4 linked regions of the Saccharomyces cerevisiae S288C genome follow. The protein of the gene in region 3 purifies or fractionates together with the protein of the main gene of each other region. This does not show direct contact. Each region holds a gene or a part of one and is shown on either strand. Other genes may lie near its edges. The genes, in order: NMD3, STM1, RPL10 and RQC1.

Region 1 (4,599 bases), on a different chromosome or scaffold from region 3:
ACCTCATCGCGGATTGTAAATAGTAAATATAAACTGGCAATTTACTTAGTTTTTGAATAAATAATTGTATAGGAATATTATCAGTCGTATAATACAGACGCTTTAGATCTCCGTAGCATCATATCAGAAACTTTTCAAGATGGCAGACTTTAAATCTTTAGGTCTTTCAAAATGGCTTACGGAATCCTTAAGAGCTATGAAAATTACTCAGCCAACCGCTATCCAAAAGGCTTGTATTCCCAAAATCTTAGAAGGAAGAGATTGTATTGGTGGTGCCAAGACTGGTTCTGGTAAAACTATTGCATTTGCAGGGCCTATGCTGACTAAATGGTCCGAAGATCCGTCAGGGATGTTTGGAGTGGTCTTGACCCCAACCAGAGAGTTAGCCATGCAAATTGCCGAACAATTTACTGCACTTGGTAGCAGTATGAACATTCGCGTGTCAGTTATAGTTGGTGGTGAAAGCATCGTTCAGCAGGCATTGGATTTACAAAGGAAGCCGCACTTTATTATTGCCACGCCTGGACGTCTGGCACATCATATCATGAGCAGCGGAGATGATACCGTTGGAGGGCTAATGAGAGCTAAATATTTAGTTCTAGATGAAGCCGATATTTTGCTAACTAGCACGTTTGCCGATCATTTAGCAACATGTATAAGTGCTCTACCTCCCAAGGATAAGAGACAAACACTTCTATTCACTGCAACTATAACGGACCAAGTAAAGTCGTTACAAAATGCACCAGTGCAGAAAGGGAAACCCCCATTGTTCGCTTACCAAGTAGAAAGTGTAGATAATGTGGCTATTCCATCGACGTTGAAAATAGAGTATATCTTGGTTCCAGAACACGTCAAAGAAGCATATTTGTACCAATTATTAACATGCGAGGAATATGAGAATAAAACCGCTATAATATTTGTAAATAGAACAATGACCGCGGAGATCCTTAGAAGAACCCTGAAGCAGTTGGAAGTGAGGGTAGCGTCGTTGCACTCTCAAATGCCCCAACAGGAAAGAACAAATTCCTTACATAGATTTCGAGCTAACGCTGCAAGAATCCTCATCGCTACAGATGTAGCATCCAGAGGTTTGGATATCCCAACTGTTGAGCTTGTAGTGAATTACGATATACCTTCAGACCCAGATGTATTCATCCATAGATCTGGTCGTACGGCCCGTGCTGGCAGAATTGGTGACGCCATATCATTCGTTACCCAGCGAGATGTTTCTAGGATACAGGCCATTGAGGACCGTATCAACAAGAAGATGACAGAGACAAACAAGGTACACGATACCGCTGTAATAAGAAAAGCCTTGACCAAGGTAACCAAGGCGAAGAGGGAATCGCTGATGGCAATGCAAAAGGAAAACTTCGGTGAGAGAAAAAGACAGCAAAAGAAGAAGCAAAATGACGGGAAAAGTTTGCGCTCTTGAAAAATTCTAAATAAGATTTAAAGACGTACATATCGTACAATCTGGATACTGTTTTCCAGGACAACTGATAGATACAATTTTGGCACATATGAAGTATGTTTCTATATAACGGGTGAGAAAATCGCTGTAAATTCAATTACGTACAATCACCGACGGGTAACTTATTTTTTTTTCTTTTTCTCTTGTAGTTGGAAAATTTTTTGAAGCTCATCGCATTGGAAAAGAAAAATTACTAGCAGTTGTGATGATTTAACTATGTTTTGAGGAACCTTGGCTTTATCTTTTATTTGTCGCCTGGTACATAACACTACATTTTATTGTCTAATAAACGTTGAGGAATTTGACAAAAGGATGGAATTCACACCTATAGATCCGCACCAGCACCAAAATGCTGCTACTCTTCTATGTTGTAACTGTGGTACCCCAATCGATGGGTCCACTGGGCTGGTTATGTGTTATGACTGTATCAAACTGACTGTGGACATTACTCAAGGTATTCCAAGAGAAGCGAACATTTCATTTTGCAGAAACTGTGAAAGATTTTTGCAACCACCTGGACAATGGATCAGAGCAGAATTAGAATCTAGAGAATTACTGGCCATTTGTTTGCGTCGTTTGAAGGGCCTAACAAAAGTCAGATTAGTGGATGCTTCATTCATTTGGACAGAACCCCATTCTAGACGTATTAGAATTAAACTTACCGTGCAGGGAGAAGCCATGACAAATACTATTATTCAGCAAACTTTCGAAGTAGAATACATTGTTATTGCGATGCAATGTCCAGACTGTGCCAGATCCTACACTACAAATACTTGGAGGGCTACTGTCCAAATTAGACAAAAAGTGCCTCACAAGAGAACATTTTTGTTTTTGGAACAACTGATTTTGAAACATAATGCTCATGTGGATACCATTTCCATTAGTGAAGCTAAGGACGGGTTGGATTTCTTCTATGCGCAAAAAAACCACGCAGTTAAGATGATTGATTTTTTGAACGCTGTTGTTCCGATTAAACATAAAAAGTCTGAAGAACTTATTTCTCAAGATACACATACTGGTGCATCTACTTATAAATTTTCATATTCTGTCGAGATTGTTCCTATCTGTAAAGATGACTTGGTCGTTTTACCAAAAAAACTGGCTAAATCTATGGGTAACATTTCTCAATTTGTTCTATGTTCTAAGATTTCTAACACTGTCCAGTTTATGGATCCGACTACTTTGCAAACCGCGGATCTGTCACCATCTGTGTACTGGAGGGCTCCATTCAACGCCCTGGCTGATGTGACCCAGTTGGTGGAGTTCATTGTTCTGGACGTGGATTCTACAGGTATAAGCAGGGGAAATCGTGTCTTAGCTGACATTACTGTTGCTAGAACGTCTGACTTGGGTGTTAATGACCAAGTCTACTACGTCAGGTCTCATCTCGGTGGTATTTGCCATGCAGGTGATAGTGTTATGGGTTATTTCATTGCAAACTCGAATTACAACTCAGATCTTTTTGATGGGTTAAATATCGATTATGTGCCTGATGTAGTTCTTGTGAAGAAATTGTATCAAAGAAAGAGCAAAAAGAGCAGACACTGGAAGTTAAAGAGAATGGCTAAGGAACACAAAGATATCGATGCATCCTTAGATTACAATTCAAGAGCTCAAAAGCAAGAAATGGAACGTGCAGAAAAGGACTACGAATTATTCTTACAAGAATTAGAAGAGGATGCTGAATTAAGACAAAGTGTTAACCTATACAAAAACCGCGAAGCAAATGTACCTCCTGAAGAGCATGAAATGGATGAAGACGAGGATGAAGACGCTCCACAAATCAACATTGATGAATTATTGGACGAGTTAGATGAAATGACATTAGAAGATGGAGTCGAGAACACACCCGTTGAATCTCAGCAGTAAAAAAACACCAAAGAATGGAGAGTAGTATATACTCTTAACAAACACTAGCATTTCAGTTTATCTATATACATATATATGGATGTAAAATGTACTTTATGGAAGAACAAGCCACCACATGTTGAAAACTAGATAGGCAAGCAAGATTTTTCATTTGTAGAGCTCTTACGCAAGATTTTTAAACTTCCGCTTTTTTAATCCATGAGATTCCTTTGGACACCCTTTCCGGCACGGCAAAACAAAAAAATTAAGGGAACTCATTATTTTACGATGCTACTTAGATAACTAAAGTTCATTATATTTCAACAAATATAAGATAATCAAGAATAAAATGTCGTCAGAAAGGGTCTTAAGTTATGCACCAGCTTTTAAATCATTTCTGGATACATCTTTTTTCCAAGAATTATCGAGATTGAAACTCGATGTTCTGAAATTAGATTCAACATGCCAACCACTTACTGTGAATCTAGATTTACACAACATTCCTAAATCTGCTGATCAAGTTCCATTATTCTTAACAAATAGAAGCTTTGAAAAACACAATAATAAGCGTACTAATGAAGTGCCTTTACAGGGCAGTATTTTCAATTTTAATGTATTAGACGAGTTTAAGAATCTTGATAAGCAACTATTTTTACATCAAAGAGCATTGGAATGCTGGGAAGATGGAATAAAGGATATCAATAAGTGTGTTTCTTTTGTGATTATTAGTTTTGCTGACCTAAAAAAGTACAGGTTTTATTACTGGTTAGGTGTTCCCTGTTTTCAAAGACCCTCTTCAACAGTTTTACATGTGCGGCCAGAGCCGAGTTTAAAAGGGCTGTTCTCAAAGTGTCAAAAATGGTTTGATGTCAATTACTCAAAATGGGTGTGTATACTGGATGCAGACGATGAAATAGTAAATTATGACAAGTGTATTATTCGAAAAACTAAAGTTTTGGCGATAAGGGACACTAGTACGATGGAAAACGTCCCTTCTGCTCTAACCAAAAATTTTCTCAGCGTGTTGCAATACGATGTTCCTGACTTGATAGATTTCAAACTATTAATTATTAGACAGAACGAAGGTAGCTTTGCATTAAATGCTACATTTGCTTCTATTGACCCACAATCATCCTCAAGTAACCCAGATATGAAAGTTTCTGGATGGGAAAGGAATGTGCAAGGTAAGCTAGCACCACGTGTTGTTGATTTAAGTTCATTGTTAGATCCTTTAAAAATTGCTGACCAATCCGTGGATTTAAATTTGAAGCTAATGA
Region 2 (3,776 bases), 160 kb from region 3:
ATTTGCGGCTCCAAATACTTTTTTGGGATTCTTTGAGCCATAGTTATCCATGGTTCTGTGGTTACATTTGGCATAGAGGGCAGCGAAAATCTTCTTCTTGATAAAGACCGATAATCCGCCCCTTGTAATTCATTTTTGCTATCATTACTTTCGTTTTCGTTGTTATTATTTGTGGTGAAATTATGATTTGTATTATGCTTCCGTTCGTTTATATATTCCATATTAACTTTATCAGGAATAACAATAACTTGGTGGTTAACGTAGTTTCTTGTATCTACAACGTGTACTCTGCCCTGATGTTCAGAAATGAATAATAAATCATCTAGGCCATAACTGAACCTACAGACTCTAAATGCACCGTTGTGGGAATGTGGTCTAGTCGAACTAATTTCTGCCATGGGAGTAGCCATGTTTCTGATATCATAAATTGCGCAAGTACCATTTTGAAATACCGTCGCAAATTGCAAGTCGTTTTCGGAAAAAGAGTTATAAAACCCATGGTCTGAATTTGGAGCTTCATATATGTTTTCGATATATTCTGATTCATCAGGTAACGCAAACCGTGGTATCCGTCTAACACGATTGACAGAACTACCCCAGGAAGGATGATTATCGTAATGTAAGGAGAATTGGTTGGTTAATTCATTTTGATTGTAAACAGCAAATTTATTAGAATCGCCAGACACTACCATCGTTTGACCATCATGTGACAAAGAAGCGTTATTCAAAGGAAATTTTAAATCCGCATAACGCTTCACTAGTGTTACATCTCTATTACTTACATCGCATTGGTAAAGATGACCATCATTGTTGCATGCAAAAAGATCAAACTGCATACTGGCCCTGTCATAAAGTGTGACACAATTATTGATGAACTGGCCCAACGTAAAAGTCATCATTGTGTCCGTTTCTTGATTATAAAACTCCACGATGCCCTTCCAGATATTAGGATTTGAATAATGTGAATTTATAGGGAAACTAATATTTTTGGAAATATTAATCGGTTGGGAAGGTGGCGGCAACGAAATATTTGCATCTTGAGCTAAACGGTTCCAATTAGAAGGGAATCCCTTATCATCAGAACCGATTAGACCACCACAAACAGTCAACCCATTTAATTCCGTGAAACATCTCGGCTTAAAGTTGAACTCTACCAGTTTCTCGGAAGGAACATGTAAATTTTTGGAGATATACGAGCCCGTTGTCCTAGAACCTTTTGTAGACGTTTTTTCAGTAGAGTTTTTACCACTGTTACTCGGTTGAATAGAATTATGTCGCCTTACTGGAGACCTCAATACGGAAGAATCCGTATCTAGTACTCTTATCGAATGATCGTAAATATAATACAGTTTACTCTGGTTCATGGAGCCTGGTTTGATACAATCCCGCAACTGCCAATGGTTTATGGAGACCTTGGCATCGTAGAGTTCTAAAGCAGGCATCATATAGTTTTGGTAAACCTTATCAGAGCCAGTATTTAACCGTTCATCTTGCAGCGCCTCCTTAGATTGCCCCGTGCCATCAATGGTCATTCTTTAACACGTATACTTTTGTAACTTATTGCTGTTTTTCTACCACTTTATTCGATCTTACTTGTCGTTGCTTAATCAGCAAAAGTTTTGTACTAGAATAAAGTTGTAATAGGCTTTTAATCCAGAGTCTCCTCCTCCTCACTTTCTGATCATCACCCCTTATTGCCTCAGAAAAGAGATCATACTCCGCTTTAAAGCCGTTCAATGTCACGTGACACAAAGTTGTAGCCGTATAACATATGGCGCTACCATGTTGTTATTTAGACGGGTAACATCACCGTTTAGAAAGATAAAGGAAAGTGAAATTATTGGAATGGAAAGTGTTCCCAAAAGTTCGCACCAACGCAAAAAGAAATTTTTTTTTCAATTTTGATATCATCGTTGCGTAGAGGAAGCCCTAACTGAGTAGAGAAATTATATGGTATTTTCCTTGTAATATTTGATTTTGAGTCGATATCCCCTTTGTTCTTCTTCCTTCCTTCGCTTGTTTTAGTTGTATACTTGGTTTATTGTGGAAGATTTTTTTTTCTGCTTCGTAGTTTTAAATTAGAAGTTATTTCTTTGCAAATTTCTCTTCCCCCCACAGTATTCTTTTAGAGGTGAAGTAGAAATAAACCAAGAAAGCATACACATTTTATTCTCAATGTCCAACCCATTTGATTTGTTAGGTAACGACGTCGAAGACGCTGACGTTGTCGTTTTGCCACCAAAGGAAATCGTCAAGAGCAACACTTCCTCCAAGAAGGCTGACGTCCCACCTCCATCCGCTGACCCATCCAAGGCTAGAAAGAACAGACCAAGACCTTCTGGTAACGAGGGTGCTATCAGAGACAAGACCGCTGGTAGAAGAAACAACAGATCAAAGGATGTCACTGACTCTGCCACCACCAAGAAGTCCAACACCAGAAGGGCCACTGACCGCCACTCTAGAACTGGTAAGACTGACACCAAGAAGAAGGTTAACCAAGGTTGGGGTGATGACAAGAAGGAATTGAGTGCTGAAAAGGAAGCTCAAGCCGATGCTGCTGCTGAAATTGCTGAAGACGCTGCAGAAGCTGAAGACGCTGGTAAGCCAAAGACCGCTCAATTGTCTTTGCAAGACTACTTGAACCAACAAGCTAACAACCAGTTCAACAAGGTCCCAGAAGCTAAGAAGGTTGAATTAGACGCTGAAAGAATTGAAACTGCTGAAAAGGAAGCTTACGTTCCAGCAACCAAGGTCAAGAACGTCAAATCTAAGCAATTGAAGACCAAGGAGTACTTGGAATTTGATGCCACTTTTGTTGAATCTAACACTAGAAAGAACTTCGGTGACAGAAACAACAACAGCAGAAACAACTTCAACAACCGTCGTGGTGGTAGAGGCGCTAGAAAGGGTAACAACACTGCTAACGCTACTAACTCTGCTAACACCGTTCAAAAGAACCGTAACATTGACGTTTCTAACTTGCCATCTTTGGCTTAAGCCTTATATATGAATAATTCCAACTGAAAGAATCCAATAACAGTGTTCTACTTTCTGTTTCTATTACTATTATTATTTTAATTGGTTATTTACTATATAATTTGCAAGTGAAGATGATCATGCTGGCAAACCAAAGAATAAAATTGGGTTGACATCCAATCGAGAATATGACATATCATTTTGTTTTATTTAAGCAATAAAAAATAAATGACTTTTAATTTACTTTTCAATTTTCTTTTTTTTTTTTTCACTTCTGAGATGTGCAAGCGTGTAGTTTGTTTGTATTTGTATAACAATTTCATCATTAGTCATTCTTCATTAAAAACTTTTTGTTATCGATTAAGGACATCCAGTATGATTCTTTTTCTCTCATCTTGATTATCTCTTGAGAGTATTGTTAGGCAACGCATTATACCACAGTTTTTTTTACCAAAGCGAGCGGCACTCCAGCAGGTGCTTCATGTAGTATTCAGGTATCACATCGCTATATTTTAAGTTTCTGTCGCCGTTGATCATTCCTATCTCCCATTCACTTCTTCCGTTCGGTTGCATCTGATTACCATAGTCATGTAGTCCAACTATCAAATCTTCGTGCCCTAGTTCTCCTTTTAACTTTTCGTCCATTAGTCCATTAGCTATACATGAAACGTCGAATAATATTTTACATGTGAGTCCCCACAAATCCCTGAATCTGAAAATACCTCCATCAACACCGTCTTCGTCTGAACTTGATAAATCCTCTATGGTTTGCAACCATGGCATTTCGTTATTATTTGCTA
Region 3 (3,868 bases):
TCGTCAGAGGGAGCTAATAGGATATCTCTGAATTTACGACCATCCAAATTAGGTACTCTAACAGGGAACAATGAGTCCTTAGAATGACACCTTCCCCATATGTATACACCAGGATGATCTATTCCAAGTTGAAAGGCAGGCACTTGAGGAATCTCCCTTAATAGATTTTTGGCCTTTTGTCTGATCAATTTTTCCAACGAATCCTGTCCACTTTGCTCTTGCGTTGCATTTATGCGACCGCCATTCATCTTGATTAACCACCAGGATTTTAATTCTGGCCAACGCAAGTAGGCCGTTCCCAACCCACCCACTACCACGAGAATGAGGATCCCTTGCCCAACAGCAGATAATTTCGCCATCCTTTCCCATTGGAGTTCAGATTCCTTTGTGATCTGATCAGGAGACTTCTCAGGCCATTGGAAATGCTCGTCTGATGGCCTTTTCTTTGCTTTATATGCGCCATGGTTAATGTTCTCTGCAAACAACTCTGCTTCATCGTATTGAGGTTGTTTGGCGTATCGCCTGATGGGACTAACCCAGTTAAGGCGAGGGAGACGTTGAGAAGTCCTCGTGAATAATCTGAATGACATTAGCGGCGCACGTCCCTGTTATCGATTGCTCCCTTTCTTGTTAGACGCATTCAACAATTCTTCGTTACTGCAGCTCAGGCTTTTTTTTTTCCTGCTGGTATACAAAAAGCAACAGTGTCCATTGACTTCAGGATATATCACTACCCAACATGCTGAACTTTAAAAAAACACATAATTATATGTATTACAATAATGTATAAATATATTTACTGTTTAATAAACTAGAATTTAAATCAAAAAAATTTCTCTTTTAAGTTAGTTCAAATGTTTGAAAAGAACTTAAGCTTGAGCAGCAAAGTATTCTGGGAATTCTCTGATGTTGTTTTCCAAAGAACCCTTCTTGGACAAGAACTTAACGAAAGCACCGTCGTCCTTGACTTCACCAGCTTCTCTCTTCTTCAAGTATTCTGGTCTGTCCAAGTTGGTGAAACCCCACTTCTTAGACAAAATAATCTTTTGTTGACCTGGGAACTTGTATCTGGCTCTTCTCAAACCTTCAACGACAACATCCTTGTTGCTGTCCTTGGTTCTGACAGAGAAGATAATTTGACCAATGTCGACACGAGCGGCCAAACCGTGTGGCTTACCCCAAGCACCTCTCATACCTTGTTGCAATCTATCCGCACCGGCACAAGACAACATCTTGTTGATTCTCAAGACATGGAAAGGATGGACTCTGACTCTTAAGTGGAAAGCATCTCTACCGGAGACAGTAGTCATGTACTTGTTGGCACAGATACGAGCAGCTTCCAAAGCTTCAGAAGACAATTGTTCCAATTCGTTGGAAACCAAATGGACACACAATGGGAATTCATCGACGGTAGCCTTCTTCTTACCCAAATCGTAGATTCTGATCTTGGAGTCTGGAACAGCTCTGTTGTATCTAGACTTTGGGTAAGGCTTGTTCTTTTGGTATCTGTAACATCTAGCTGGTCTTCTAGCCATCTTGAATTAGTTATTTGATATACTGTACTTTAAAGTTTGAAAGTCCCACTCCAAAAGCACTTGCGGAAAGGATGTATAAATGGTTGCTCCACATCAACATCTTTTTATAAACTATTCTCTAGAGAAACCAAACTGACCATCAATTCTGAGATGAAAAGTTTCCTTAGTCAGCATTATTGTGCTAACTAGTTTCGGAGGGAAAAATATCGAAAAAAAAAAACCAAAAAAAAAAATAAAAAAAATGTACGGAGGGAAAAGATGTACAGGTGTAAAAAAGCACCCCACGGAAATAACCGCTACTATAATTTCATTTCTTTTTTTTCTATATCCTGCGGAAAATTTTTTTATACTGACAGGGGAAAAAGCAAATTAATTTTGCTTTTATATATGGAAAGTAGCGGGAGATGAGATGAGGTGAATTGAAAGGCAGTTAAACACACAGACAAGTGAAGATAAAACAATAGCGCATCATGGGTAGATATTCGGTGAAGAGATACAAGACTAAAAGAAGAACACGAGACTTGGACCTGATCTATAACGATTTGTCCACCAAGGAATCAGTACAGAAGCTTCTGAACCAGCCATTGGATGAAACCAAACCGGGCCTTGGTCAGCACTATTGCATACACTGTGCCAAATACATGGAGACTGCTATAGCGTTAAAAACGCATTTAAAGGGCAAAGTGCACAAAAGAAGAGTCAAGGAGTTGAGGGGTGTCCCTTACACACAAGAAGTCTCTGATGCTGCTGCGGGCTACAATTTGAACAAGTTCTTGAACCGTGTACAGGAGATCACGCAATCGGTGGGTCCGGAGAAGGAAAGTAATGAGGCCTTGCTGAAGGAGCATTTGGACAGTACCTTGGCAAACGTCAAAACAACAGAACCTACTCTACCGTGGGCGGCTGCTGATGCCGAGGCGAATACCGCTGCCGTAACAGAGGCAGAGTCTACTGCCTCAGCCAGTACTTAACAGTAAAGTAAAGATCAGAACCAAAAATAGGCATATACACTTTTTATAGTATAACACACTTCCAGTCAACTCGAATCGCTTTTGCCGCGAAACGCAATGAAAAAAAGTACGCAACAAAGAGAAATAATGAAAAAAAAAAGAAAAAATTTTTTCATTGCTAGGCGATGAGCATCGACAGTTTTATACGTAAATCAATGGTTAGATAGATAATATTAATAACATACAAGACAATTTTTGCTTCGATTAAAGTGTTGGCACGAATTATTGTTGCGGTTCACCAACCACTATACATTTTTTCTCTTCCTTCCGCATCTTTATCTGGCCCCGGTAGGTCATGAAGTCTAGTAAGCAATTGGTTCAGGACGCTAAGGATTATCGCTTCAATCCGGCGATACCATTGAGAATTTACCTGAAAACATGCATCGGCATATTGGAAAAGGCACAGTGTGCGTTCCAGGCCAACGACTTGTCGCTGTCGTTTATTTATTATTTTAGATATGTGGATTTATTGACTAACAAACTATCTAGACACCCTGAGCTTTTGCGCATGGATGCGTCGTCGTCATCGTCGTCATCGTATATTCATAAAAGAGAATACCTGCAACTCATAAAGTTGGAAGTGCCTGCGGTCTGCAAAATTATTGAAAGCTTACGCACCCAAATTGATTCTCAATACAGCAAATTGCAAACATCACTCGCTAATAATATAGCCAAGCCGAACATAAACGCAAACACAACTCCCGTGCAGGTGGAGCAACAACCACTGCCGAAGAAATCTTTCGACGAGTATAGCTTCAACCAATCAATTTCTTTTTTCCAGAAAATTTCAAACGCACAACTTAATACCGGAGCAAGCTCTCAGAGTCAGGCCACTGCCCGTGATGAAGCCTACAGACTGAATTATCCGGAGCTACCACGCCTTACATTCTCCACATAGCATCCTTTTTTTTTTTTTTTTTCCATACCATACGAACATACATAACCTTACATACAATATTACATGATTACTCTGTTACAACACGTCTCCCCTTCTTGGTCTTGACCATTGTACTTTGGCTGGTATGTCCAATAGAGTCGCGTGCGCTACAACTTCGTCCTTGTGGGTCATGAGGTTCGTCAGCTTATCCATCTTCTTGTTCAACTTCATTAAATACAGCAGATTTAACACCAAGAGCACCAAGATTATTATGTTCACCCAGTTAAACCTCCATCTGTCGCTGCCTATTTCTGAGATTTCCGCCTCAGCTTCTGGTTTCGACTCCGGCTGTACCATCGTCAGCTCCGGTGCTGCCACTTTCCTAGGTGATCCAAAAGATGTAACACTGGGCAACGGCTTGAGTGTATCTGCTTTTTCTTTGCTCA
Region 4 (5,027 bases), on a different chromosome or scaffold from region 3:
TACTCATGAACTGTGGAATATTCACAGAAGGAACGGACATGCCAAATATTGATTGTATACTACTGTGTAGGCCCACAAAATCGCGTTCACTTTTGATTCAAATGATTGGAAGAGGTTTACGGTTACACCATTCGAAAGACCACTGTCATATCATCGACTTCATTGGAGCTTCTAGTGTTGGAGTGGTTTCAGCGCCCACTCTACTGGGTATAAGGAGTGATGATATCGAATTTGATGATGCTACAGTTGAAGATTTAAAAGCAATCCAAGGAGAGATAATAGCTAAACAACAAAAAATCGACGAAAGGTTAAGGGCTTTATTTCAGACTGATGAAGCAGCAATGGAAAATGTAACTGAAAGAAATAGCGTTGCCGATTGGATTCACAGTGCAAATTCGGTTGATTTAACCTTGTGCTCCTTTGATAGTTTTAGGAATTTTACACAGAGCAATAACTCATATCCATCTGGCAAGGAGTTTGATGAAGCTTCTGAAGCTGTAAAAGAAATGGAGCTGTTGATGAACTCACAATATCCGTGGGTGAAATTTGCCTCAAATGCGTGGGGCCTCCCTTTAAAAGGTAAGAATCATTTGAGAATATACAAAGAAAAATCCGAAGACAAATTGTCGATGGTATATCATCTAAAAATGTATCGACAATTACCGTGTTTTATAACAAATAAATACGCGGACTATGTTCCAAAAAGTATAATAAAAGACGCTAATCTTTGGAATGTAATGTCAAAGGTGGAAAAAATCATAAATACTCTAAATTCGGACTTGGAAGGACAAACAATGCAATACCAGGCAATATCTAGTAAATACTCGAAATGGAGACAAACAGTTCCTACGTCAAAACAAAGAGACTTTGTTTTCAGAAAGCTAAAGAAAGTATATGGTGAGTCCTCAAAAGATTTTATTAGATTATCTTTGGATGATGTTACTACTTATGTAAATACTAAGATGACGAAAGGAGATGCTTCCAACTTAATCTTTGCCAGCAGTTTGGCACCTGTCTACCCGTTGAAATCATTGTTACGAATATTAGAATATCAAAAAAGAAGATCTTTTATAAAGTGAAATCCGTAGCTACATAAATGTGCATATATTAATATACAGTCACTAGTACATATGTAAACGTCGGACCACTCGTATATGCATTTTCTTTTGGATCACACCCTTTCTGAACTATGCAATGAATAACGTTAAATTCAAATAAGTGCTTTAGCCTTACTCTGCGTACTAGAAAATGAGCTGCAACATTTCTTATTAACCCTCATTTTCATTTGACTCTTCATTTTCATGAATGTACTGTTGCAAAGATATTTGTCTAATTTGATTCAACAGGTCCTCATCTTGCATTCTTTCTGCCTGAAGGACAGCTAAATCCTTTTCATTAATAAAGGTTTTGATGTTTTCAACCACTTCGATTGATTCTTTTGACGTAGGCATTGGTGGTAATACGTCAAACTCATATACTTCATTATCAGACCAGATAAATGATGGAATTGCAGCCATTACAGAAGACTCCTCAGATAGTATGGCGAATCTTAATAAGTTAATTGGGATTCCCGCAATAAAGAAAGGTGATTGCAAGTTGTTAATGTTATTGTGATCTTGCCCATCATTTGAATCGATTGTAACGTTTCCTCTATGGTAATCCTGTAAAATACTCGACATTTCATCATGCAAAAATGTTACCTCTTCGTTTCTATTCCAAAGTAACGGGAAGCGGGCCATATATGCCTTTAATTCCAAGTTTTCTGCCGAATGGCCATCAATGGATAAATCTTTAGTTAGCGCATGATCGCCCAAGAGTTTCTCCTTGAAAAGTTCTGACAGTTGTAAAGGATGATGCTTAAAGGCTTTTAGAAGCGCATTGCGGGCGGAACTCATCTCATTTATTCTTAGGAAGCTTAGTACTACCGCCAAGGAAAATCCTAAAGTATTCCACTGTTTATAACAGTTCATTAATGGAGAGTTGGATAATTCTATAATGTACTGATAGTCATTATTCAATAGAAAATAGTGATCGAGGAAATACCTGCATCCTAAAGGATCTTCCAATGGGCTCAGTGACCAGAGAACTTTTGTCCATTCACTAGCAGTTCCTATAACACCTCTTTGAGCAAGAGATTGGATGTATCTAAATATTGCCAAGTAAAACTGTCTGTTGAAGAAGTATATATAAGGTAGTTGACAATTCAAGGAATCGAAAATAATATTTGCTTTCAAAGCTCTATCAAAGACAAAGAGTGCTCTTTGTAACAATCCATTAGTGTTTGATCTATCACCTTGCCTAATAAATATCAAAGCAACTTGTAGCAGTCCAGGCACATGATACGGAAATTTAGAAGAAATCAAATTTATAAGGGCTTCATGATCAGGGTGAACAATAACACTTAAGTAGAAGTCCATCATTGATTTCTTGCTCAGGTCGGAATTTAAAGGTTCGAACTTATAAAAAGAAATGAATTTTTGCCACTGACTGACATCGTTTTGGATAACATCCTTCCAATCTAACGGCCTTTCCCATAATTGCCAATCTAAAAGATCATCAGAACTTAAAAGTTTCATAGAGAGCTCACCTCTTTGAGTTGGGATCCAATCATCTCTGATCTTGGTAAACTTCAAATGTTGCGGGTGCATTCCGGGGCCATTAGGTGCCAATCTATGATCTTTTCCGCCCCAGTTTCTAATTAATCTTTTCAGTCTCTGAATCTGTTTCAGCTGCTGAGGGGAGACAGGTGTGGATGTCATCGAATCAATATCTTCAAGAGACTCTGGAGATATATCGTCAAATAAAAGTTTGAATTCCGTATGGGGGTCCAATTTCTTGAAATCATTTTGAAAAAATTTGCAAGAATGCCTCAAACATGAAATGGGGAACTTTGTGAAGCCCGGATCACTTTCTAAGCTTAAAAATGACTTCCAAGGTTGGCTAGATGCTTCCTCTGGTTCAGATGCCGTGAAGAAACCTTCCTCATTAGTGTCATCATTTTTAGTCTTACCGTACTTCAATATATCAGTTTTTTTGAACTGTTGGATAATCTTGTCGAATTCTTCATCATCATCATCATCATCGGAACCCTTGTCTTTTGCAGCCTCGGCGGTATGGTTTTTTTGCTTCCTTTTTGCCTTTTTATTCTTTTTCCTTCTAGAAGACTTGGATGCTAGTGTAATTCTTTTAGGTTGACCATTACTTTGAGTATCACGCTCCCCAGCAGCAGCAGCTTCTTCATCCTGCTCAGACATTTGTCCTTCATCAGTGCTATTATCTGAATCACGTACGTTATTCATCATAGAGAAGATGTTCTCCCGTTTCTGAATATTACCGGCAGTACTTTTACCACTCGTCATTTTATTCGCATTTGAATTCGATAGCAGCGACTCTAGCAGAGCATTATCATCTTGTAATCTCCTTAATGCTCTAGAGCTCATGTTCGAGTACTTTACAAATATATTTAGATGATTCAACGACCTGTATGTTAACCTTCAACTGGTGGACTGTATGTACTACCTATGGACATTTTTCACTATACGTTGATGCAGTAGTGAACATATTGCTCGCATAATGTTACCCGTTTATACCTCTATACGATTATTAAGGGAGGGTAATACTTTCTCAATTTTTTTTTTTTCAGTTTTTAATATTATTTCCTTAAGATTTTTCGGTGGCGTTTCGCGACAACTTACGAGAAAAAAAAAAAAGAGGAGACTTGAAGAAAGAGTGCAAAGGGATAGCGGGATTCTAAAGTGTTTACGTGCAAAAAGGATAGATTTTGAGCTTTAAACTAGATAAGACCCAAAGCATTCGATTACTGCATTTGAGAGGTATTCAACAATACCATTTTAACTCTTAGAAAATATTTCCTTAAGCTGAAAATTTATGAATTCTAACTGCTCTTTGCATTTTCCAAGTTATTGCATTACAAGAATATATGACCACATCTCGTAAATCGCATGCGAAAGACAAAAAGGCTGGTGGTGAACAGGATCTGGCGGATTTGAAGTTTAGGTATGATCTTCTGACGAATGAACTGTTCCATTTAAGAGAGTTTGTTTCATTGGTAGATTATGATCCAACCCATTTTAATGATTCTGAAAGTTTTCAGAAGTTTCTCAGGGAAACACACTTGTCGTTAGAGGAGAGAGGAGAAAAATTCACTGATGACGTAGCCAAGAAAGGCACGAATGGTGATCTTACTCGCAGAAGGCGAAACCTCAGGACATCGACAGTTGTTAGTTCAGAAACGACTAATGAGAAAAAGGGTGATATAGAACTGAAGTTAGAAAGCATAGCACCATTAGTACGAAATAAATGTGAGGAGCTAAAATACAAACTAAGTGATCATTCAAATAGGAAATCTATAGTACCGCAAAAAAGACCAATACAACATTTGAAGAAGAGAGAAGCAGCGAAGTCCTTGAAGTTCAAAAGTGAAAGAAAGGAAAATCCACTGCCATTGCATGAACATATAGCTGAAGAGAGATATGATCACATCGCAAAAGTTGAAGAACCCTCTGAAGCCTTCACTATAAAGTGTCCTTCTGATGATAGCTCCTTTGAAAATACTAGTGAACATTATAGTGATAATTTTTATTTCACCACATCATCCGAAGAGGAAGATATAAAGAAAAAAAGAGGTAGAAAGAAAAAGAAGCCTAGAATAAAACTGGTAGTCCATCCTCCAAAGCAAACCATAACGAACCCGTTGCATGTAGTCAAGCCGGGATACGAAAGCTTGCACGAATACATCGCTTCCTTTAAGTCATTAGAAGACGATTTAACGCTGGAAGAATATAATAAATACATCGACGAACAAAGACGGCTTTTATCGAGACTCAAAAAAGGTATTGAAAATGGCGCATTGAAGTATGACAAAGAAACGGACTCACTACAACCTATAACATCCAAGGAAATCAAGACTATCATAACATATAAACCAGACCCGATTTCATATTTCTATAAACAACAAGATCTGCAAATCCATACCGATCACTTAATTAACCAAGGTATTCATATGA

The links.
Region 1: the proteins of RPL10 (region 3) and NMD3 purify together in Saccharomyces cerevisiae (affinity purification with western blotting; 4 studies listed by BioGRID, with this or other methods). This does not show direct contact.
Region 2: the proteins of RPL10 (region 3) and STM1 purify together in Saccharomyces cerevisiae (affinity purification with mass spectrometry; 2 studies listed by BioGRID). This does not show direct contact.
Region 4: the proteins of RPL10 (region 3) and RQC1 purify together in Saccharomyces cerevisiae (affinity purification with mass spectrometry; 3 studies listed by BioGRID). This does not show direct contact.

Annotation. Positions count from the first base shown.
Region 1 is NC_001140.6:442,042-446,640, forward strand, and holds NMD3 (ribosome-binding protein NMD3), read left to right. Parts: upstream 1-1,786; coding exon 1,787-3,343; downstream 3,344-4,599. Other genes in the region: ATP-dependent RNA helicase DBP8, read left to right, coding at 140-1,435; ATG7 (Atg7p), read left to right, coding at 3,672-4,599. UniProt on the Saccharomyces cerevisiae protein: Acts as an adapter for the XPO1/CRM1-mediated export of the 60S ribosomal subunit. Unlikely to play a significant role in nonsense-mediated mRNA decay (NMD).
Region 2 is NC_001144.5:438,292-442,067, forward strand, and holds STM1 (Stm1p), read left to right. Parts: upstream 1-2,175; coding exon 2,176-2,997; downstream 2,998-3,776. Other genes in the region: GID11 (Gid11p), read right to left, coding at 1-1,532; PCD1 (8-oxo-dGTP diphosphatase), read right to left, coding at 3,424-3,776. UniProt on the Saccharomyces cerevisiae protein: Ribosome preservation factor that protect a small pool of nontranslating, vacant ribosomes in cells under nutrient starvation conditions.
Region 3 is NC_001144.5:280,594-284,461, reverse strand, and holds RPL10 (60S ribosomal protein uL16 RPL10), read right to left. Parts: upstream 1,536-3,868; coding exon 870-1,535; downstream 1-869. Other genes in the region: FMP25 (Fmp25p), read right to left, coding at 1-590; BUD20 (Bud20p), read left to right, coding at 2,006-2,506; RFU1 (Rfu1p), read left to right, coding at 2,841-3,443; LAM6 (Lam6p), read right to left, coding at 3,519-3,868.
Region 4 is NC_001136.10:1,131,992-1,137,018, forward strand, and holds RQC1 (Rqc1p), read right to left. Parts: upstream 3,441-5,027; coding exon 1,269-3,440; downstream 1-1,268. Other genes in the region: IRC3 (double-stranded DNA-dependent ATPase), read left to right, coding at 1-1,079; chromatin-remodeling protein SWR1, read left to right, coding at 3,941-5,027. UniProt on the Saccharomyces cerevisiae protein: Component of the ribosome quality control complex (RQC), a ribosome-associated complex that mediates ubiquitination and extraction of incompletely synthesized nascent chains for proteasomal degradation.